Kluyveromyces lactis: one gene and its partners. The protein of the gene in region 3 purifies or fractionates together with the protein of the main gene of each other region. This does not show direct contact. Links are inferred from orthologs where the notes say so. Each region holds a gene or a part of one and is shown on either strand. Other genes may lie near its edges. The genes, in order: RPN9, RPN12 and RAD23.

What was found.
Region 1: the proteins of RAD23 (region 3) and RPN9 purify together in Saccharomyces cerevisiae (affinity purification with mass spectrometry; 5 studies listed by BioGRID, with this or other methods). This does not show direct contact. The link is inferred for Kluyveromyces lactis from reciprocal best matches to the Saccharomyces cerevisiae genes RAD23 and RPN9.
Region 2: the proteins of RAD23 (region 3) and RPN12 purify together in Saccharomyces cerevisiae (affinity purification with western blotting; 4 studies listed by BioGRID, with this or other methods). This does not show direct contact. The link is inferred for Kluyveromyces lactis from reciprocal best matches to the Saccharomyces cerevisiae genes RAD23 and RPN12.

Annotation. Positions count from the first base shown.
Region 1 is NC_006038.1:62,799-70,960, forward strand, and holds RPN9 (proteasome regulatory particle lid subunit RPN9), read left to right. Parts: upstream 1-1,485; coding exon 1,486-2,670; downstream 2,671-8,162. Other genes in the region: SNX41 (Snx41p), read left to right, coding at 1-1,184; TIF35 (translation initiation factor eIF3 core subunit g), read right to left, coding at 3,185-3,994; MRPL39 (mitochondrial 54S ribosomal protein bL33m), read left to right, coding at 4,925-5,140; transcription elongation factor SPT5, read right to left, coding at 5,444-8,162. UniProt on the Saccharomyces cerevisiae protein: Acts as a regulatory subunit of the 26S proteasome which is involved in the ATP-dependent degradation of ubiquitinated proteins.
Region 2 is NC_006040.1:972,684-980,308, forward strand, and holds RPN12 (proteasome regulatory particle lid subunit RPN12), read right to left. Parts: upstream 3,321-7,625; coding exon 2,523-3,320; downstream 1-2,522. Other genes in the region: KLLA0_D11352g (hexokinase), read left to right, coding at 688-2,145; RET2 (coatomer subunit delta), read right to left, coding at 3,725-5,335; ZIP2 (Zip2p), read right to left, coding at 5,639-7,625. UniProt on the Saccharomyces cerevisiae protein: Acts as a regulatory subunit of the 26S proteasome which is involved in the ATP-dependent degradation of ubiquitinated proteins. Necessary for activation of the CDC28 kinase.
Region 3 is NC_006041.1:1,971,402-1,979,171, reverse strand, and holds RAD23 (Rad23p), read left to right. Parts: upstream 1-3,385; coding exon 3,386-4,537; downstream 4,538-7,770. Other genes in the region: KLLA0_E22177g (uncharacterized protein), read right to left, coding at 395-784; ANP1 (Anp1p), read left to right, coding at 1,458-2,810; putative acireductone synthase UTR4, read right to left, coding at 4,985-5,650; KLLA0_E22089g (uncharacterized protein), read left to right, coding at 6,768-7,770. UniProt on the Saccharomyces cerevisiae protein: Plays a central role both in proteasomal degradation of misfolded proteins and DNA repair.

The DNA of each region.
Region 1 (8,162 bases), on a different chromosome or scaffold from region 3:
TCAAAATTATAGAAAGAAGACAGAGGCTATTATCAAGGTTTTTAAATAACTGCCATAAAGTGAGAGAGATAAGGAATCATATCGTGTTTCAAAAATTCTTGAATCCAGAATATTTCTGGAAGGAAGTTTTAAATACCCCACCGATCTCAATCCTACCAATGAATAATCTTTTAGCGCCTCCATTAAATCCCACGAAACCAAGCCCCATACATTTATTATTGCCAACACCTACGGTGCTGACAATGCGTAAGCATGAACAATTGATAGGCCGGAACGATGTGATGGAGATCAAGTTCGCGGATTACGATTCAGATCTCATCAGGTACAAGGCGATCCTACAACCTTTGAACAAGACCGTTAGAAGTATAAGGTCGAATATTCAAACTTATTCGGCTGTTTTATCTGAACTCGGCGCGTATTTCAACGCGTTCAGTCTAGAGAATAGCGTGTTTCAAGTGAGTGCATTATTTGAACAAATGAATCGTCTATCGATGGGAATAGAGAAGACAGGTCAAGCAATCGATGTGAATTATGTTAGTGCAGAGATATTTAGTGAAGCAATCATGATCAGTCTAGAAGAGGGAAGCAAAGAAATGCTTCAGTTCATTCATGAAGCACAAAGAGTTCTTCACTTCAGAAATTTCAAGCAAGAACAATTTTACACAATTGAAACTACGATAAAGAAGAGGAAAGATAGAATCCGTGAATTGAAAGAGGCAGACCTACAAGCTGTACGATTGGGCGAGGCATTGAAATTAAATGCAGAGGAATCACCCACCGTTGCTCAAGTTATGGACTCCATGACGCGTAAGTCAGCAAACAAGAATCACACGGACAAACAGATAATGGGGCTTTTCAGGTCATCAGCATCTCCAAACAACAAGTCTGGATCTGATTCGATTTCAAGTGAAGTCGAACCTCATCTTCTAACTAAAGACGAACGGGTTGTACAGGTAAACAAACTAGAAAAGGAACTTGAAAAACTGAATGAATGTTTCAAACTCATCGAAAAGGACTTACAACAAGTCAATGAGTCAATGGATAACTCTTTGAATAACTTAGAGAAATATTTCCATGAGAAGTGGTTCCTCATTTTCCGCGAACTAGCCCACAATATAACATCATGGTTAAAGGATTGTTCAGAGTCTTGGAAAAATGCCAAACAGTCTATAGATAGCATATAAAAGGTTTATATCTCAAAAAGAAAGGCATGAAGTATTGCATTGAACTACATTATTTGATGATGAAAGTGCAGATGGAGATGATTTGCTGTCACATATCTAGTTCATCCACTTCTCACAGCATTTGTTTGGAGAATTGTCATTATTAACGACTTTCATGCTTCGATTGACGTTTTGTAAATATGAAATATATAGATCGATACACCTTCTGAAATGTAAGGTGGCGAACAGAATATTAAAGATTATAGATTAAGGCATACATCGCACGACTAACAGCACTTCAGCAAGCTTAAATAGTCAAAATATGACACACGAAATTGACACCATATTATCTACATTGAAGCAGGAAGTCAATAGTGAATTGGCCCCATTATTCGACGATTTTGAAGACTTGTATGAGAGGAAGCTATGGCATCAGTTAACTGAGAAGCTAGCGATTTTTTTCCATGATAGCAAATCAGAATCGTTCAGACTTCGCCTTTATACCCAATTTGTCAGTAAGTTCATTGACAAGATAAACCAATTGAATGTTGTTGAGTTTTTGTTGCAAGCATTACAAGAAAACGATGACACAGAAGAATCATTACAATATCTAAAGGATCTTCAAAAGGAATTCAAAGAAATTGATGAAAAGAAGCAAAGAAACGATGGTTTAAAACCTCATGTAAATGGGAACTTGTTGTTAGATATTGAGATTGCTCGTGTGAAATTGGAAAAGGGGGACCTAGTTGAGGTCAGAGACATCCTAGACGCTATTGGGAAAACACTTGATGTTCAAGATTCGGTACCTCTCAGAGTTACCGGTGCCTACTACTCGTGTAACGCTTCCTATTACCAAGTAAAGAAAGACTTCAACAATTTCTATTATACCAGTCTTTTATATCTCTCAACAATCACTTCGGAAGAACAACAGCAGCGATTGACACAACTCGAACAACAACAATTGGCATACAATTTGTGCATTGCAGCATTGTTAGGTGACAATATCTATAATTTCGGTGAACTACTTCAGCATCCAATTATTTCAAGTATTTCAAACGATAAAGAATACGAATGGTTATTCAGATTCTTGAACGCATTAACTGAAGGGGATTTCCAAAAGTTTGATCAAATTTCAAAAGAAAGAATTCCCAAGGTACCAATCTTAGCTCAACATGAGTCATTCTTGAGACAAAAGATTTGTTTGATGACTCTAGTAGAAAGCGTGTTTGCAAAGTCTATCAGAACGTTGTCTTTCCGCGATATTGCAGATGCCACATTTTTACCTATCGACAGTGTTGAACATTTAGTAATGAGAAGTATCAGCTTAGGATTGTTGAAGGGATCAATAGATCAAGTCCAACAATTGGTTACAATTACGTGGGTTCAGCCTAGGATCATCAACCAAGAGCAAATTAAAAAAATGAAAGATAACTTGATAAAATGGCAAGATGAAGTGTCGAAATTGGGTAATAAGATTGAAGGAAGGGGTAAAAGTATTTGGGTATAATGCTTAAGTATCGTCACATATTATATACTACGTACATCCGCTTAATATCTATGAAAAACGAAATCCACCAACATGTTTCATTGATCGGTTTGAATTTCTGAAAGAGTTAGACGATATATCTTGGAGTTTGTAATATACAGGTAGATACGTAACACACATAGTACTCGAATGTAGTAATTATACACATATGCTATTGTATCGTTCGAGAGCAAAATGGGTCAAAGAATGTCATATAATATAACCGTATGATGCTGAGTGATATGCTCATTTGTTCAACCAGGAAGTAAGATTATTAGGATACACATACGTCACGCTACGCAGAGATATCCCATGTTATGAAAGGAATGGGATAAATTGTAGGGAACAAATAAGCTGTAAGATAAGATGCAACAACTTTGAAGGTAGAAGTAAAGAGACCTTGGTATTGAAATAATGGGTTTAGAACTTAGTTTTGAAGTAGTTTTTCTCTTCAAAAAATACTATATCAGTTTGATCAGCGAGTTCTTACAGTTTATCATTCTTCTTTCTTTGGTTTTGGCTTAGACCATTCTGCGTGTAACATGAAATTCATGAAACCTCTGCCTTCCAATAATTTCAAAGCTTGAGCAGCAATTTCTTCAGTTTGGAAAGTAACGTAAGCAACACCACGGGATCTACCAGTTTCTGGGTTCTTGACGACGAATACTCTAGGAATCTCACCGAATGGGAAGAGTAATTCTCTTTTAAGCACTTCTTCATCTGCAAGTTCGTTAACCTGGGTCAATCTAATAGTCTTTGCATCATCACGTTCTCTTTGGTCTTGGTAAGCATTAGAAGATGGATCACGAGCACCAGCACGTAGGGATGGTGGCACGTATCTGCCAGAGCCAGAGCCTCCTTGAGCGCTCATATCTCCACCACCGATAGCCGGGTCTAAACCAGCAGATGTAGTAGGTTTCTTTCCCAAAGTGTCTTTGTACGGACAATGCATGGTGAAATGCGCACCACCACAAATTCTACAAGTAATTACCTTTTGAGTCGAGTTAGCAGCCTTCTCCTTTGCCTTTTCTTCTTCCATTTCCTTCCAGTTAGGAGACAAGTCTAACTCTAATTCTTCACCTAATTGAGTGGTTGAAATATCTGGTCCTGGGGCAGCTCCCTTATCAGCACCATATTTCTTCCAATTTCTTCTCAAGGCGATGTTCTTGTTAACTTTCTCGGTGACAGTAATTTCCTTAACCTTCTGCGTAACCTTGTACTTCTTACCATCTTGGATTTTGAAACTGATGACGGTTTTGGAACCATCGTCATTCTCGATGATTCTTGGTTCAGGAATAGCTGACATGTTGTGAATCTTTGTATTATCTCCTTAAAAAAATAGGATTGTAGAAAAAATTCCTTTAATTTCTAGACGCGTGTTATACTATCAACAATTAAGAAGCCCAATTCTGATTTGAGGTATGTCAAATATCCTCCTTTCAAGTTATGGGTCTGTAGATAATCTGATCGATATCAATTAATTCTCTTTGAAGAAAAAAACTTCGCACAGATGATAGTCTCAAATTTTTGTTTCAGTTCTTTATTGAAACACGTAAATCGGATACACTTGGCGCAGTATACTCCTTTCTTCTATCAAACAGCTGGATGAAACCCTATGCACCTTCTAGGGTCACCTTACCATTACGTTTATTTTAGCAGGTAACTTAGAACTCATTTGAATTTCCATTTTTTTCTCTTCTCTTTCGCTGATTTTGCCTCTGTCTCTATGCGATGAGCTTTGGAAAATTTTCAAAATTTTCATCAGTAATGTATATCGTGTTGCACGGGTGTAACAGAGATCCGTAAGCTCCAGCACTAATTAGTTACCTTAATTATACCGTACTGTGTACACCAATCAATTCAGTTAATACCTTCTTGTTGATAAAAGCGTAGAGTAACTATATGCGAATACTTAACTTGACTTGTGAATATGTATCTGTTTCACGTGATATGAAGTACGGATCATTTTTATGTATATTGCATATTCATCAAAACGTATGTAGTGATTTGACAAAATTTTGATTATCCATTACTTCTTCTTTAGCAATGTATCCGACCCAATCAATACTGAAAGTAGTGGGAGTTCATCAATTTCTGCATAGGACGGTGTATCATCGGAAAGTATTAAGGGCAGAAAGTAATATTATCCTGCGTACTTCTCTGTCTCAAATTCAAATTCAAGGAATTTCACAGAGCTAAGGATATCATATATAAACTGCAAACGAACAGGAAAACGATGGCCAAGGCTAAGACAAAGACTACAGTTATCAAACTGATATCAACTGCTATGACAGGTGTGAGCCGTCATGTCACGATAAATAGAGCTGCACCATTAGTGACGCAGGTGAGGTACGACCCTGTAGCTAAACGTCATGTTTTGTTCAAAGAGGCCAAGAAAAGAAAGGTTGCAGAGAGGAAACCATTGGACTTCTTACGTACCGCAAGACGTTAATGAATTGTATTTAACAATTTAACCACACCATTTGCATGTATATAGAAAACACTCACACTGCAATAACTACCGTTGAAATAGACGTGATTTAAGAGTTCTATAGTAGTATCGGTTTGTAGTAAAGAAACGAAATTTTTAACTAAATTACATTTACTTAATTCACTTATTTAATTGGTTTCTGAGACTAATTTGGGCAAGACTATATATACAACATCCACATCGCGTGGAGTAATTTGGAGATAATAAGATGAACAATTGATAGGTTTGTAAATTATCGTGAGGCAATAACTTGTATGATTATTTCTAATTATTTCCACCCCACGTACTTCCACCACCTCTAGCATCCTGATTACCCCAAGCAGATCTATTGCCGCTATTGTTGTGTTGGGATGCATTGCCCCATGCGGATCTCTCTCCTGAGTTATGCTGCGATTGATTGTTACCCCAAGTGGAACTTCCACCGGTGTTTTTAGATCGTTGTGATTTATTACCACTGCCACCCCAGGCAGAGACACCTCCCTGGTTACCACCCCAGGTAGAAGTACCTCCATAGCTTGATTTATTGCCACCGCCCCAGGCAGAAGCTGCTCCTGATTCTCCGCTTGCTGCCCAAGAAGAGGCGCCTCCATAACTAGATTTATTACCCCAAGTGGACGCACCACCCCAAGTTGATGTAGCACCTTGCCCACCCCAGGTGGAAGTGTTTCCAGCAGCTCCACCCCAGGCAGAAGCACCACCAGGGCCTTGTCCGCCCCATGTCGAAGCACCACCCCAGGATGAAGTTCCTCCGTTCTGGCCAACCGCAGGAGTTTTACCGCCATCAAATGCATTCCAACCAGGAGTCATTCCACCAGGAAGTTGTTGCGGAGTGTTCGTTGCCACCGCACCACCGGCAGCCATGTGTCTTGGTGCACTGACATAGCTTGGGCCCAATCTGGTATGTGGAGTTCTACCACGTCTACTAACAAGTTCATCGTATGTTATACCTTCACCACCTTCATGACTGAAGTAAGTAAGTTTTCTTTTGTCTATTGTAATATGCTTATTTTTGGAGTGCAATTCAATAGTAGCCTTATCTCCATTGACGTCTTTGACAATACCCAACTGCCCCTTGTATCCCGCAGAACGTATCCTAACAGTTTTGTTCAAAGCGACGTCACGGCCAACTAACCGCGTCTGCTGAGTAGTTTGTGGTGGTCCCATCTTAGACGCAATATTTGGATTTATTTTAGATAAATCCAATGCTGACGACATCAAGTTTTCTTTTGAGGCGACAGCCTCGACATTCATTGGATTAACAACGAAAACACCGGCATTTTCCGTTATTGTTTTCGATCTAATGAAAATATGTTGGTTTTGAACGTAGAGTACTTGTCCCTCTCTACGGGAACCGATCTTTTCTCTTACTACATCGCCAATTTTTATTTCTCTACCATTACCATCGACAGCAGCTACTTTCGCTCTTGCTACATTGATCTTGGCAAGAATTGAGCCTTTAGTAACAGTAGCCACTTTACCGGAGTCGTCAATAATCTTGAAAATATCATGTCCAGCCTGGATCACACATGCCACGTTTTTGGCACTTAACTCAACAATGTCATGTAGAGCGTACTCGCTTGATGTCGGAGTAGAATCCATAGATTTACTCAAGTTATTCGCAGAGATTGTCAAATTTTCTCTAGTTTGGTCAGAAACAAATGTGACTTGACCGTTCTGCACCAAAAGAACCAAACCAGCGTTACCTTCATGTTCACCAGCTATTACTGTGACATGGTCACCAAGTTCGAAAATTTTTCTTAGAGATGCAATTGGGAACTCTAATGATTTATCTGAAAAGCCCGATAGTTTAACGCTGATGACGTCTTTAGAACTTCTAGTCACCACACCTCTAGATCCACGTTGTTCCCCGGTCAACACTTCAACACGGTCACCTGGTTGAAACATAGCTTTAGAAGCTTGAGCTTTTTTCATAGTTTGAGCAATAGCTGCTAGATCGACATCACCTTCTTTACTGCCGAACCTTGATAATTCTTCCACCGTAGGTTGGATATTCTTTGTATCAAGATACTGAATCTTAAAAGATTTGAAAAGATAACCGTCAACATAATCTTCCTTCCTGTAAGTGAAGTGCCTGTCATCTCTTTTGAATAAGTTGGCTTGGTCTAACCTTAATGCCATAGTAGGGTTAAATAATTGAGGAGGAGGCCTACTAGCAAACGTTGCTCTCTTTGCCTTTCTCTGATTTGTATCTGGGTCGATTTCGTCATTTTTACCGTAGTCTAATCTGGGTACAATCTTTAATAGAGCTTCTAAGTTGTTCTGACTAATTTGATCAATGACTGCCAAATCATTCTTATAAATACCCCTTTTAATTCTAACATAAGAACCAACATCAAGTCTCACTTCATCTGACTTGGTAGGCTTTAATAGTAAAGGTAGTTCTTGCACGGGAATCAAAAGCTTTTGATTAGAATAGACATCTGGAACACCGTTGACAAATTTTTCGATAACAGATTGTTTTGGAGCTTCGATATAGATTCTTCCTGTGTAATTGTCTCTTTGGAAGATGGACAGAATCTTTAATTTTTTAGAGCCCATAGATTTATCCAAGTTAAACTTCTTATTTAGCAACTTTCTCACTAGTTCTTTCTCCTTCCCTGGTCTACAACGAACGGACCAAATAATAGCAGTATCAACACTTGGTAACATAAACCTCTGAGGTACATACCCACCTTGAGTTTGTACACGGTAATCTTTGGAAGAGTCACGACCATAACGTTTCTTGAAGTCTTCAGCGATCTTGTGCATGTCTTCATCCGCAGTTTTTTGAAGATTTTGATCTAATTCTCTATGCAGTCTGTCATCAACTCTACCACCACGATCCTCTTCGTCTTCTTCGTCACCGCGAGTAATGAAACCTTCACGAACTAGTTCTGAATCTTCTTCATCTTCTTCGTCGTCTTCGTCTTCACTGACTTCGGCTTCAATATCCAAGAATCTGTTTCTTTCACGACGTTGCTTC
Region 2 (7,625 bases), on a different chromosome or scaffold from region 3:
AAAAAAACACAAAAGAAGAGAACACAGAATAAGATACAACCACAGAGAGTACGTGCGTACGTGCGTGCATCTCGCCACTTCCACTTCGATTTATCTGCCCCGCATAAACTAGAGATTGAAAATGTGCTCTTGTGCTAGCTCCTCCGCGACTTCTCGGTAAAACCTTGCTTCTCCTATTATTCCCGTAGCGAGCCTGGAAAAATTTCAACAACAACTTTTTTTTTTCAGTTCAGCTTCCACAAAGTTTCCTCTTCCACAAAGTTCCTTAGAAACGAAAAACTTCATATAGACGGATCCCATTTGAATGTGGAGGCAGGCAGGAATTCAGATGAATTTGACCTTGGAATGTAAAGCGCAAACCACTATTTGGTTCCGACTTGACGTTGCGAGTGGCAGTTTCTGGATCATTTGCGTATATAAATATATAAATATGTTGTTCTATCGTAGAGTTCTTTCCTTTTCAGTTGTAGGTTTTGTCCACTGTGAATTGTTATACCATCATTTCTTAATTACAGACAGCCCCAAGTTTTAAAGTATACAAGTCTCATTACTACTTACTACTACTACTACTACTGCTGTGATTAATTGCTATTTTACTAGAAATACTACTAGTTATAGCATCATAAGAAGAGTATTAGAGCTAACGCAAAAGCTAAACTTTTAGATTACATTACATAAATATCAAGAATGGTTCGTTTAGGTCCAAAGAAGCCTCCAGCCAGAAAGGGGTCCATGGCAGATGTGCCAGCTAATTTGATGGAACAAATCCACGGTTTGGAAACTTTGTTCACCGTCTCTTCAGAAAAAATGAGAAGCATTGTCAAGCATTTCATCAGTGAATTGGACAAAGGTTTGTCCAAAAAGGGTGGTAACATTCCTATGATTCCAGGTTGGGTTGTTGAGTATCCAACTGGTAAGGAAACTGGTGATTTCTTAGCTCTTGATTTGGGTGGTACCAACTTGAGAGTTGTGTTGGTTAAATTGGGTGGTAATCATGATTTCGACACCACTCAAAACAAGTACAGATTACCAGACCATTTGAGAACTGGTACTTCTGAACAATTGTGGTCATTTATTGCAAAGTGTTTGAAGGAATTCGTCGATGAATGGTACCCAGATGGTGTTTCTGAACCATTGCCATTGGGTTTCACTTTCTCATACCCTGCATCTCAAAAGAAGATCAATTCCGGTGTGTTGCAACGTTGGACCAAGGGTTTCGATATTGAAGGTGTTGAAGGTCACGATGTTGTTCCAATGCTACAAGAACAGATTGAAAAGCTGAATATCCCAATCAATGTCGTTGCATTGATCAACGATACCACTGGTACCTTGGTTGCCTCTTTGTACACTGATCCTCAAACTAAGATGGGTATCATTATCGGTACTGGTGTCAACGGTGCTTACTACGATGTTGTTTCTGGTATTGAGAAATTGGAAGGTTTGTTGCCAGAAGATATCGGTCCAGATTCTCCAATGGCAATCAACTGTGAATATGGTTCCTTCGATAACGAACATTTGGTGTTGCCAAGAACCAAATACGATGTTATAATCGATGAAGAATCTCCAAGACCAGGTCAACAAGCTTTCGAAAAGATGACTTCTGGTTACTATCTAGGTGAAATCATGCGTCTAGTACTATTGGACTTGTACGACAGTGGTTTCATCTTTAAGGACCAAGATATCTCCAAGTTGAAAGAGGCTTACGTCATGGACACCAGTTATCCATCTAAGATCGAAGATGATCCATTCGAAAACTTGGAAGACACTGACGATCTGTTCAAGACTAACTTGAACATCGAAACTACCGTTGTTGAGAGAAAGTTGATTAGAAAATTAGCCGAATTGGTCGGAACAAGAGCTGCAAGATTGACTGTTTGTGGTGTTTCTGCTATCTGTGACAAGAGAGGCTACAAGACTGCTCACATTGCAGCTGATGGTTCTGTCTTCAACAGATACCCAGGTTACAAGGAAAAGGCCGCTCAAGCCTTGAAGGATATCTACAACTGGGATGTCGAAAAGATGGAAGACCACCCAATCCAATTGGTGGCTGCTGAAGATGGTTCCGGTGTTGGTGCTGCTATCATTGCTTGTTTGACTCAAAAGAGATTGGCTGCCGGTAAGTCTGTTGGTATTAAAGGCGAATAGAATAGAAGATAGAGGATGATTTCCCTCATACAATCCATTATGAGGAATTAATCTAAAGATTTGCTATTATATTTTTTTTCTCTGTTATGAAGTTATTAGATCAATCCAATTCATGATATCATTAGTTAACAAGCTTTGACCATTCTGGCTTTCCAACATCGACATAGAGACATATAAACATCATTTTTCTATATATGTAGGCCGGAACAGATTGTTCTTCGCAAATGTAAACTAACTTATGTGTTAATGTACAAATATGAATATATTTCAAATTTAAATCTTAATAATATTAGTTATGCTTATGTCCAGTTTGGATAATATGGCACTAGTTATTTTAAAACTATTCAAGCTTGAAGTGTATATTTTTATGATATTACCTATACAATACTTTCTAAATGAACAGCATAGTCAATAGCCATATCCACGGTATCCCCACTCTCTATCCTGTCTGGAGTTGAATCATTTCCAAATGTGATAACGCCATGGTTGACGCTCCAGTCACGTTCTTTAGCGAACGCCTCCATCTCCTTTTCATTCTCGAAGAATAGTAGAGTCTTAGCGTTGAACAATGGTAAGGAGCTATATGCTTGTTCAGAATTCAAAGCAATTTCCTCTCTTATAGCCTCTTTCAAAGTCTTTGTGAAAACATTGAACTCTTCAACCTTAGAACCTGTTTGTAACAGATCCCAAGCCTTTTGATAAGAACCTTCCATCAAAAGTCTTTCCAACTTTACTGGATAAGAGAGGTACGAACTCTCTTCCAAATTCGTAACGTATCTGCTCAAAAACTCAAATTCTGAGTGAAGTTTAGTGTAATCGTTTTGTGCTAGCAAGATTAATAAGTACAAACTTATCAACTTGAACTTGCTATCTGAATCACTCAATTCTTTCACATCAGAAAAGTAGAATGCGCTTAACTGTGAGTAATAGTTCATGAAAGTTTCAAAATCCTCACAGTATATGCTTGAAAGTGCTCCTATCTCAAGTATCTTCTTTGCTATATTCAGATCCTGTAGATAGCTTTGATTTTCCTTAGCGCTTTTGATATCAGGTATTAACAATTTTGCTTTAATCAATTCAATCTTGATAGGAAGTAGTAATCTCAAACATGTTTCATATTGTTTGCCCTCAAAGGCAGTCTTCAACCCCTTGGTTAGCTCTGGTAACGATGGCATCTTGGTTGCTGTCTATCTCTGTCCCTTTATTTCGGTGGCAAAACATATTCATGCAAGGTCTGAGTTAAGTTAATGTTGATATTTTCAATTTCACTGAATCTTGAATTTCTCATTACATAGTAGTAGATTTATAGGAACTTTGAACAAATGAAAGCAGGCAATGGGTAAGATAGGACACAAGATGCGCCGATCGTATTGCAATAGGTATTAACAGGCCATATCTAATCAATTGCATACGGATCAGATTACCATTTTTTCTTCAGTTTTCGGCTTTTTTTATTACTTTTGGTGGAGTTCACTGTACATTACTTCTTAAAAATACACAAACATGTATAGGATTACTTATATAGTAGCAGTATTTTCTGCTAGAGACACATGCTGCTGTTTAATACTGCAAAGTGCAATTACACTACGACATATTGTTCACTCTTCAAGGTAGATACGGTGTCGAATGGTAGTTCAGTGTCATCTGCGGCAGATACAACAGAAGCAATATTTAGGTTAGACAATGGTTTGGCATTGCTGTTCTTTAAAGCAACTTCGATAGGGAATAACGCATCTTCATAAGCAGCTTGGACAGTAACACTGAATACGCTTGACTGACCGGATTCAATTGGGTCCACCTTAATGATAATACCTTGGGACTCGTCAATGGCCTCTACGATTGCATTAGCCTCGTTTAGATCATCTTTGATGAATACAGTATCGGTGAAGACAGGAATCAAGAAGCGTAATTCATCGATAGTTCCTTCGTAATCACTGTTGACTTCATATTCAAAAGTAACATCAATGGCATTATCCGTTTCTGAAGATGGAGACAACCATGTTGAAATTTCTAATGGGATCAAATCATGTTCATCAGCACCCTTAACCTTACGCCATCTTAGCACACCCAAACTTTGATCATTGGATGGGAATGGTTTGTTAGGATCTCTTAGCCCGATCGTTTTGTTAGTTAAGAAACCAGCCTTGTCCACATTTGGATGGGTTTTGAATTGATACGTTTTGTCCTTGACATTGACGTCTGTACCGAGACATAGTTTGGCATGTGCAAGATCAGGGTTATTAACACGTAATTCTAACACACCCTTTAACTCTGAGCCCATGATAGCACCATCACGGGAAATTTCAGCGTTAATAGTTTCTTTTACGCTAATTAAAATACCATTGTTGATAGGCTTTTCTTCTTCAGGCAGAGTTGCTGTTTGAACTGATAATGATTGTCTTTCCACGTTCTTGATCGGTCTTTCAACGCCTCTTCTTGGCCCATTGACTTGCAAACCTTTACCACCCAAAGGCTCACGGTTTGCATACTGCTGTTGCTGTTGTTGCTGTGGTGCTAAATTCTGTTGTTGAATACCTTGATTAGATTGCGTGTGCATGTGTGACTGTTGAGCCGCGGATGAAGCATGGCTGTAGTAACTGTCATACGCCTTGTTCATAACACCACCATGGATACCGGTGAATTCCTGAGTGTCCGGAATACCCAATTTTCTTGCTTGTTCCTTTCTCGAAATCTCTTTTGCCCTACGCTTTCTTTCTTCCGCTGCTTCGAATTCCTTATTACGTTCAATAATTTCCTGTATTCTTTCCTCATGAGATTCCATTGCTAAGAAGGTCTTAATCTGAGTTAAAGATAGATTCTCCTTGTAGCCCATAGTAATGATTTCATCGAATGAGTTCAAGATATCGAACGCACTATCGAAAACATCTTCCTCACTTAGACCCTTCAGAGTAGAATCAACCGTTTGCACAAAAATGTTCAACGTGTCCATATCCTGGATTATATTGGAATGAAGATTCGTAATCAAAATAATATAGTAATCATCAAATGGCTTGTAAACATATCTGACATGTTCATCTTCAACAAAAGTGTGCTGCTTTGAGGAATTGGCAACTAAAGTCTGGAAATTCGACAACAATTCCATAACACGATCTTTCGTGATATCTCTGAATTGTCTAGACAATAAAGGCTTACCCTTACGAGTAGTGATAGAAACCGCTAGTACAACCATGATTATCAAGCCCTGTTCTCAATGTATCACGTCACAGGTTTCCTGGTGCCTGAATCAAAACTTTAACGAGACTATTATGCTTTCGGAATGATACAGCTTTGCCAGGTTCGTACATTTTTAACTATTTTCAAGTTTTCTATTTTGATATGTTTTGGTTCAGTTCCATTTTCGAAGGGAAAAAAAAGGTTCATCAAAATCAGGAAACCAATACTAGAAGAGTTCGTTCAATATGACTGGTTGAAATAGATCGTGAGTTTAGCTTGGATGGGTAAGGTTCATTCGAGCCGACGTATGAGAATGAATTTACTCTGACCAACTCATTGTCACAAAATCATCAATATGAGCTAGTTGGTATTCTGTGAGAAATTTGCCATATAGTAGGGCTCTTTTTCCATAACTTATTGATAAGAATTCTTCTAATGAGGTGAGTGACAGAATACTTTCAATTGCGATTGGATTGATGTCGAAATGTTGTAAGACCTCTTTGCTAAGGCTCATGCGATAAATTTGCTGTTCATTGGGCGTATTGGTACCACAATATAATGAAATCCACGTTGCTGTTAATTTGAGTTGTGTTTCCTCAACTAGATGAGTTGTTGTCCCACCGAGACAGTTTAATAAAAGTTGGGTCTTGTAAGCTAAGTTGGAATCTAACGCTAACGATCGTTCTGAGTACGATAAGAAGATTACCACTCTTTTATATTTACACTTCAATTCTTGTATTGCTCGGAGTAACGGGAAGCTGTCGACCTGTTTCTGATACACTGAAGTAATATTTCGAAGAATGAGACAGGTAGATGCGTCTAACAAGATATCCGAATGATCCCCCAAATCCATCTCAAGCACACAAAAGTTGTTCTGATGTAAGAAATTGATCAACTTGTAGTTTTTGGCAATATACTCTGCATTAAAAATGATTACTTTCTCTTCAGCATTATGGAAACTTTTATCGCTTAATTGGAAAGTGACATTGGACATTGTAGATTGCTCAACTGTCTCGTTCAGAGTAGCAACTGGGTTAACATCACCATTAGATATGGAGAGTCTCTTCAATTTGGACCGTTTGGCTGCTATTATGCTTACTAAATCTGCGTTTATGAAAGAGCGTTTCCCACTTGTCATTATCCTTTTGTTTGTCACTTCATCGACGTCAGTAGTTTCCTCATTTGCAAGAGAATCAATACACTGACTAGACTCTTGGACATTCTCTTTAGATTTTGGATCGAACTGATCATAACTGATAGCATTTACACTCCTGAAGCTAACGGGAATTTTGGATACCATCAAATCAATTTTGGAACTTGGAATTCTTTTGAAGACAAGCGCATAGGACGTACATCTAACTTGTACATCTCTTAATGATTCAAGTAGTTCCGAGTTTTTTGGCAAGTTTAACTCTTTGAATGGATTCCAATTTAGTCTTTTGATAATTTCGTCACTTATCCTCCATTTTGGCTTAATAGGCTTACTCCTGTAAACTGCTTTCCTCTGGAACTGATCAGCTTTGGGGTTCTCAAGCTTGTATAACTCCAGTGGATGAAAATCCTCATCTTCACAACAAAGCTTTAAAAACTTGATACTGCTATTCTGAATTTGATTCGACTGCCAATGCGGTAATCTGGCCGACGAAGTGTATTCTTGACTCGTTTTTTCCCTCGTTAAAGTTTGGATGTACTGGATTTTGTACTGCTGAAAAGATTGTACCTTTACTGTTTTAAACTGTATGTCCATTGTTGTCATCTGGCGCTTCGGAAGATCATAAGATAAAAACTCTTCATAAAGTTCCGATTCTCGTTGTACCAACCTGCTATGCATTACTGGAAATTCACAAGAGTGTCTAAGTGTTCTCCCTAGCGGTTGTAAAAAGTCCTCATTTAACCGATATTTAGCATGTACATTTTGATCGAATTTATTCAACCTAACAGAAAGGTCCAACTTTGTTAAGGCAGCACTGAACAAATCTTTCACATTATCTCTAACTATAATCTTTTCTTTGTATAGTGATCTTGTATCTACATTCTGATTGCTGTTATATGGTGCCTTGCATTTCCATTCCGGATTATTCCAGGGCCGGATGTATCCTTTGACTAAAATTGCAGTGGTATCGAATTCAATGATATATTTCACCAAAGATGATCCATTTGATTCCTTCTTGCCGACTTTGTGAAACTTTAAATCAATATCACTCCGAGTAGCCAATTTCAAGTACCTCTTTGTCGGCCTATTCAATTGTATGCTTTCTCTTAGTCTCTTCTCTAAATAACCGCCGAACTCTTCTTCGAATATGTTT
Region 3 (7,770 bases):
TATACAAAATGGACTAAATACACTCTTGTAAATGAAAAAAAGCTTTAAATTCAACTTTCCATGAAGAAAAAAACTCTTATAATTTTGTTTCCAATATATATAAAATCGAATATCAAATTTTTTTTTCTTTCTCGTCGTCGAACTGAAAAAAAAAGTTTGAAAAATTTAGTTTCGATCATTTTGTACAGAGAGAGTGAAAGAGAGAGCGAGAGGGAAAAACACCGATGTATTTCATAGTCGTGTAAAGTTTGTAGAGTGTGAAAACAGAAAGAAAAAGCAATTCGTACGGTAGGTCTTTTTTTTCTACTTTCCCATCGTCTTCTCCCTTGCTATTCTAGTCTGCTATGGGGATTGTATGTTTTCCAAATGGCATATTCTAGTTTTTTAACGGCATTCACTGACAGATCGAAGTCAATAATATAGGCAACGTTGGCACATAATTGTATCGGTTGCGGAACGATTTGTATAATGTACAATTTTGATACGTAGTTGTGTATAATTCATCTTTGATGGCGAAGAGCTGGGTGGATTCGCCAGTCGACAGATCCAAAGAACCTGAGGCCGCATTGAGGGAAACAGGCACGGACCATGATATATCACCGTACACGGTAAGCTCACGGAATCCTCTCGTAAGCAGTAGGAAAAAGGGAAACCCAACGATGCCCGGGTAACATATACATATCACTATACACGTATTTATTTGGTCCTTTGATTGCCGCCTGGCATTCCCAGGCATTGGAATGAGATGAAACATGTCACGTGACTGTACGGGAAGAACAGACATCCGCTATCTTTCCAGCCTTTTTGTTCCGTTATGTTGAATGGCCGTAGTAGAGGTTCTGTTACAGTGCGAAAAGGCGGTAATTGAGCCGGGAAAAAGTAGAGTTGCTTCTTATCTACAACAACTTACGGTCCCCAACAGTGCCCTGAGAGTTGAATCACTGGTTCCCACACCTTATAACTGCGTGTAGGGTCTGGCAGTTCCTTTTTATTTACCTTTTCCAAATTTCAGTTTATACACTTTTTTTTTTTTTTTTTTTTTGGCGAAGAAATTGAAATGGATGAAAACAATGCAACTATACAATCGAAAATAGTAATATTTTATAAGTATTTATTATGGCACAGACCATATTATCTGTTGCAAACGCTAAAGGAAAAAGGTTTGTCATTTAAAGCAGCCGATTATTATTCCAGAAGGTGTCATAATACACAGGGTTAGCACCGCCCAGGATTAGTGAGAAAGGAAGAACACATAAGGATCTTTTGACGAGCGTGCATTTTATAGATCTATTGTGAAAAATTGCGGTATCAAAATTTCTTCGAACAATAAAATACAATCGCTAAAGCTGTGGAGGAATAAAAACATCCGGATCCATCGCTCTTTACTTTTGAAATCACTTCTATTCTCGATTCCTGGAAATTCAAATATTCTACACAACGTCATACAACCGTCATAGATGGGCAGCAAGGGTAAGAGCAGGTTCAATGCCTTGACTGCTGTGTCCGTGATAGGATCAGTGGTAACGGGGTTTCTTATAATTCGAATGATTTTCCCAATCATATGGCAGTTCGTACCGTTCGTCTCAAGTCCTGTAACTGGTAACAGGTTCAGAAATATACCTGGAGTGGAATATTACGATTTAATTAATTATCAGGGGAATGCCAATGGATGGCAGACCGGTGATAGGGTGGTGTTCTGTGTTCCTTTGAGAGATGCAGCCGCACATTTGGATATGTTCTTCGATACCTTGGATAAATTGACATACCCACATAACTTGATTGATCTTTCATTTTTGGTCAGTGATTCAAGCGATGATACCATGAAAACACTTCTTTCTCATTTGAGAAGAGCTCAATCAAACCAAGACAAATCGAGAAGATTCGCTAACATTGAAATTTTTGAGAAAGATTTCGGTCAAAGTGTGGGTCAATCGTTTTCTGATAGACACGGGTTTGCAGCTCAAGGCCCTAGAAGAAAATCCATGGCCAGAGCTAGAAATTGGCTTGGGTCAGCGGCTTTGAAGCCGTATCATTCTTACGTGTACTGGAGAGATGTCGACGTTCAAACTATACCGAATACTATTTTGGAAGATTTAATGCATCATGATAAAGACGTCATTGTTCCAAACGTCTGGAGACCTCTACCCGATTGGTTGGGAAATATACAACCATATGATTTGAACTCATGGGTTGAATCTGAGGGTGGATTACAATTAGCTGATTCTTTGGATGAAGATGCTTGTATCGTAGAAGGGTACCCGGAATACGCTACATGGAGAACACATTTGGCCTACATGAGAGACCCAAGCGGCGATCCCGAGGTCGAGATGGAACTAGACGGAATTGGTGGTGTTTCCATCTTATCTAAAGCTAAGGTCTTTAGAACAGGTTCTCATTTCCCTGCGTTCTCTTTCGAGAAACATGCTGAAACTGAAGCCTTTGGTAAATTATCACGTAGAATGCAATACAGTGTTGTCGGTCTACCTCATTATGTGATCTGGCACATTTACGAACCTTCAAGTGACGATTTGAAACACATGGCCTGGATGGCCGAGGAAGAGAAACGTCGGGTTGAAGAGCAAAAAATTCAAGAGTTCTATGCTAGAATTTGGGATATTGGTTTCGATGACGTGAGAGATGAGTGGGAGCTAGAAAGGTTACAAATTTTGAAGAACATTGATCCGAATGTCCTAGATAGGAAGATTCAAGTGGACTGGTCAGATGATGATGAAGCAGATGATGGTTCAAGGAACGGAGGAAATAATCAAGATTCACATGAAGTACCACTGGACTTTGATCCTGCTCATTAATAATTTTCTGTTTAGGCAGTGAAGAGTAAAGAAGATTATAAAACCCACAAATACATTCTTCACTAACGAGATATTTTTTAAAAAGATATCTTAACCATCTAATTTCAATTCTCATCGCTTCCATCCCCTATTATTATTCAATTATTAGGCAGACTGTAACACGTTGGAGTATCTAGTTGTACAATATGCACCTTAGATCATTATCGAGGTTTTTATCAATAGACTTTTTTTTACATTTACGTTTAAATGCATTATATACTAATATTGTACTTGCAATAATCTGTTCATTTTGTTTACTTCAAACCATATTACTACTGGTAACTATTACAGGCAAGCAAATACTGAAAACACGTTATCAAGCTGCATTAAGCTGTAATTTTCAGCGTATTCCGGAGTTCTGCATCTTGTCAGATACCTTCAGTTTTTTTTTTTGTCAACATCGAAAATGAAAGTTGAGAACAGTGAAAGAAATTGAAATTAATGCCAAATCAACTTGAATCTGATGGCTGGGTGGCAAAGAAGATAAAGTCAAGAAAACAACCGTTGAGACAAAGTCCAAGAAAATCACAAGCATAATGCTTATTAATTTTAAAGATTTCAAAAAGGAAAAACTACCTATTGAATTGGCGGATGATGCCACCATTTCACACGCCAAGGAATTGATCGCTGAACAAAAACAGTGCGATGCATCTCAAATAAAGTTGATCTACGCAGGTAAGATACTCCAGGATCCTAAGACCGTATCAGGATGCAATCTTAAGGAAGGGGATCAGGTTATATTCATGATTAGCAAAACTAAGAAAAAGGCTGATGTTAAGGTAACTGAATCCACAACTGAACCCCAAGATGAATCTCAAGCCACTGCTTCTGCAGAAACTTCTGCAGTTGCAAATGCACCTGCGGAAGCTACAACCACTGGTACAAGAACAGGTACTACTGCAGTTACACAAGAAGAAGGGACGACTGATGCTTCGTTTGTCACTGGTTCTCAACGTAACGAGACTGTGAACAGAATCATGGAAATGGGTTATGATCGTGAACAAGTAGAACGTGCGCTTAGAGCAGCATTCAACAACCCTGACCGTGCAGTGGAGTATTTGCTTATGGGTATTCCTGAAGCCAGTGAGCCATCGCAGCAACAAGCTGAAGCTGTAACTAGTGAAGCTGGGGCGAATGCTAATTCTGAAGTTGCAACAGACGTGCCATCACAATTCACTGAACATGAAGACAATTTATTTGCACAAGCAGAAGCCAATAATGGCGAGCAAGGTCATGAATCCGCTGCTGGTTTAGGTGGAGAAGAAATGGGCACAATCGGATTGACTATGGAGGACATTACACAACTTCGTGACGTTGTATCTGGGCGTCCAGAGGCTTTAATGCCACTTTTCGAGAGTCTAAGCACGCGTTACCCACATCTCCGTGAGACCATGCTGCAAGATCCACAAAGGTTTATCTCTTTGCTATTAGAAGCTGTTGGCGGTTCCCTAACCGATTCTTTGGGTGAAAATCTGGGAGATGACATAGCAGAAGGTGATCTAGGTGATTTCGGGGGACAAACTCAAGGCGCGCCTCCCAATGTTACTATCTCAGCAGAAGATGAAGAAGCTATCAATAGACTTTGCGAGTTGGGTTTTGAGAGGACCTTGGTGGTGCAAATCTACTTCGCATGTGACAAAAACGAAGAAATTGCTGCCAACATGCTATTCAACAATTACGCTGATTGAATGTAGTATGATTTTTCAATAAACCATCGTCTCTTTAGGCATGTAGGGAAAGAAGAATATGTTCAAAATAGAAAACAAAAATAATTATCTCTACCAAATTTGTTTAATAATATGGAATATGCGTACTCATATCTCCAGCATGTAGTGTTTGCCAATCCAAGTATGACCTCTATACCGTCAGATTTTCCTACTACAGCGAAGGCATCCCACATATTCATCTTCCAATTTTTGCACACATACGCACTCATAATGAGCAGTTATACTTAACCAACCTTAGTCAATCTGCAACAGACGGAGCGTGGTATGTTCGATCTCTTACTTCCAACTTCAAGTAGGATTTGTGTTACAATCAATCAGATATCCCCTTCATTAATTTTTTTAAATTTATTCATCATTACACTATATCCTTAGTCCCAATTCAGAGAACCAGTGTACCTTAGACATGTCTTATATAGATGAGAAGTTATTAAGCGCTTTATATTTTTCTGCATTAGATACCGGGTTGTTTCCAGGCCTCAATGCCAAGATGGTGCTGATGCCTACATCCAAAGCTGCGTCTAACTCCTTGTCATTGTCGCTAATAAACACAACATCACTTGCTGATGATGGAGGCACTCCAATGCTTTTGAGAATATTGGTGTAAGATTGAGGTTCAGTTTTCTTACCGGACGTGTTAATGTCGAAGTAGCCAGCAATGGATTTCGTTAAATCGATGTCCCCTTCTACGTGTTGGAACAAGAGTATTTGCGCCTTTACTGACCCTGAGGAGTATATGTAAACATTAGGAGCATGTCTCTGAATGAAATCAATTGCATCTGGATACACTGGCGCCTTGATCTCACCACTCTTGTAACCCTGCTCCCAAATATACCCTTGTAATTGCTTCAACACGGAATCCTTGATGTCGTTATTAACTAGCGATTCAATATGTTCATGCAAAGAAGAAGCATCTTGTGGGACAGGAAATTGGGCAAGTAAGTTCTGCAAAGTAGGGTCATTAGTCTTGACAAGAGATTCCACCTGTTTCAAGAAAAAAGGGTATAGCGTGTCTTTAACAAATGAGATAGGGCAAACCGTACCTTCAATGTCCAAGATATATTTCAATTGACTCATTGTCACTTAATTGAAATCTCAGTTTTCCAGTAAACGCAAATAACTGTGCCTTAAAGCTCTTTTTTCTAATGACTGTGATTAATTCCAAGCTCCTATTCACTAGGCGTACCGAACCAACATGGTCGTGAAGAACATCAGATTGGAATAGGTTTACAAAATATTCAGTTTTACAGTTTGCGAGATGAGATGCGGAAATCAGTCTTGCGAGAATGGAATGAAGCATAGGCAATGTTGGACAACGGCTACACCTTCCTAAAAAGGAAAAGAATGCAGCTTAGCTTAACTTGAAGGTTTCCCAAAGAGGATACTGGAGACGGCGCAAAAATTAAATAACTGAAAATATGCCACAAACCACGTGATCACGACGGAACGTTCCACACACGAACCCAGACATCACAATGCGCAGTATTTTCCTGCTTATCTATCGTAGCAAAACCGCGTTAGACAATCCTTTCGAGTGGATTGAATTTGGTAATCTAAGATTAAGGGTATCCATTTTGACAGGTTTCTCGGTAGGCCGATCTACAGTTGTCAAATGAAATGGCACTACTTCTATGTAGTTACATTATCTTGGGGCAAAATGTATAACGTGATTATTCTAAGATGGGAATAGGCTAGCGATCGTAAGGCTGAATTCTGTTTATTTACTTTATGTTGTTCTTAACGATTGAAAGACTGTATCTTTAGATCTTGTTCAGTTCGTAGTTGAACTGATGCGGAGGGGAGATACAACTAAGCTTCCTGCTGTTAGTATGGTCAGACGGTTTTTCGCTTTGTAGGGGTACATCGTAAACAATTCATTTTGTTAGAGTCGCTTGTGAGAGGATATTATTATGCATTATGCGTAGATACCTCGATTGCAATACAGATATCATTGGATAATCTAAACAAGGTAGCTCCTGCCGGTTGCTTACTTTAAGTTCCATTATGAGGGAATAGGATGATTCGAAGCAAGTATTAGTCTTGAAATTTATTTATAAAGGGCGTCTGTCAGAAGGATGGTTCTACTTATTCGTTGTTTGTTAACTCACATATTTCTCTATTACATCTTTGCATCCACTCAGCAAACAAAAACTCAAACCTCAAACAAGTTTTATTATAATACAAAGATATACTCATGACTGTCGAAAACGAAAATAACTCTTACGTCTTCCAAGGATACATCACTAAAAAGTTACCTCATGTCAAACGCGGTGAAGGATGCAGAATTGTCGTTGAAAAAGATGGCAAGTTACATGAAGATGTCTTCGATGGCATCACTGGTGCTGCTGTCGGGGCATTGGGATGGGGTGATGAGGATATCCATGGGATCATGACAGAAGCAGCCAAGAATCACACTTACACTTTCCCATCTTTAATCGGTAATTCACAATCTGAAGAATTGGCTAAGTTCTACATTGAAAACTCTCCAAAGGGCGCCTTTGAATCCGCTTTGTGGTGTTGCTCTGGTTCTGAAGCTAACGAAAATGCTATGAAAATCATTAGACAATACCAATTGGAGCGTGGCCAACCAAAAAGAACTAAGATCATCTCTAGAGAATCTTCTTACCATGGCTTCACTTTGGGTGCCTTGTCCATCTCTTCTAATCCAAGAGCCGAACAGTTCAAGGAAATCTTGATGGACCAAAAAGAATTATGCCTAAAGATGCCTGTATGCTACCCATACAGATTCATGAAGAAAGGTGAAACCGAAGAAGAATATTGTGCCAGATTGATTCATAGCCTGGAACAATTGATCTTAGACAACGACCCAGAGACTATCTCTGTGGTTCTCGTTGAGACATTGCCAGGTTCCTCCTTAGGTACTACTCCACCACCAAAGGGATATCTATCAGGTATCCGCCGTATCTGTAATAAGTACGACGTTGTGTTCATGCTCGATGAAGTCATGTGTGGTACTGGTAGAAGCAACCCTAACGGTAAGTTGAACTGTTGGGAGAATTTCTTGACAGCTGAAGAAGCCCCAGATATCCAAAGTGTTGGTAAGACCTTGGGTTCCGGATACGTTACCATAGCCGGTGTTTTAGTTGGTCCAAAAATCAAAAAAGCATACGCCGAAGGTTCGAACTGTATGATCGGTTCCCACACTTATGCATCTCACGGTTTTAACTGTGCCGTTG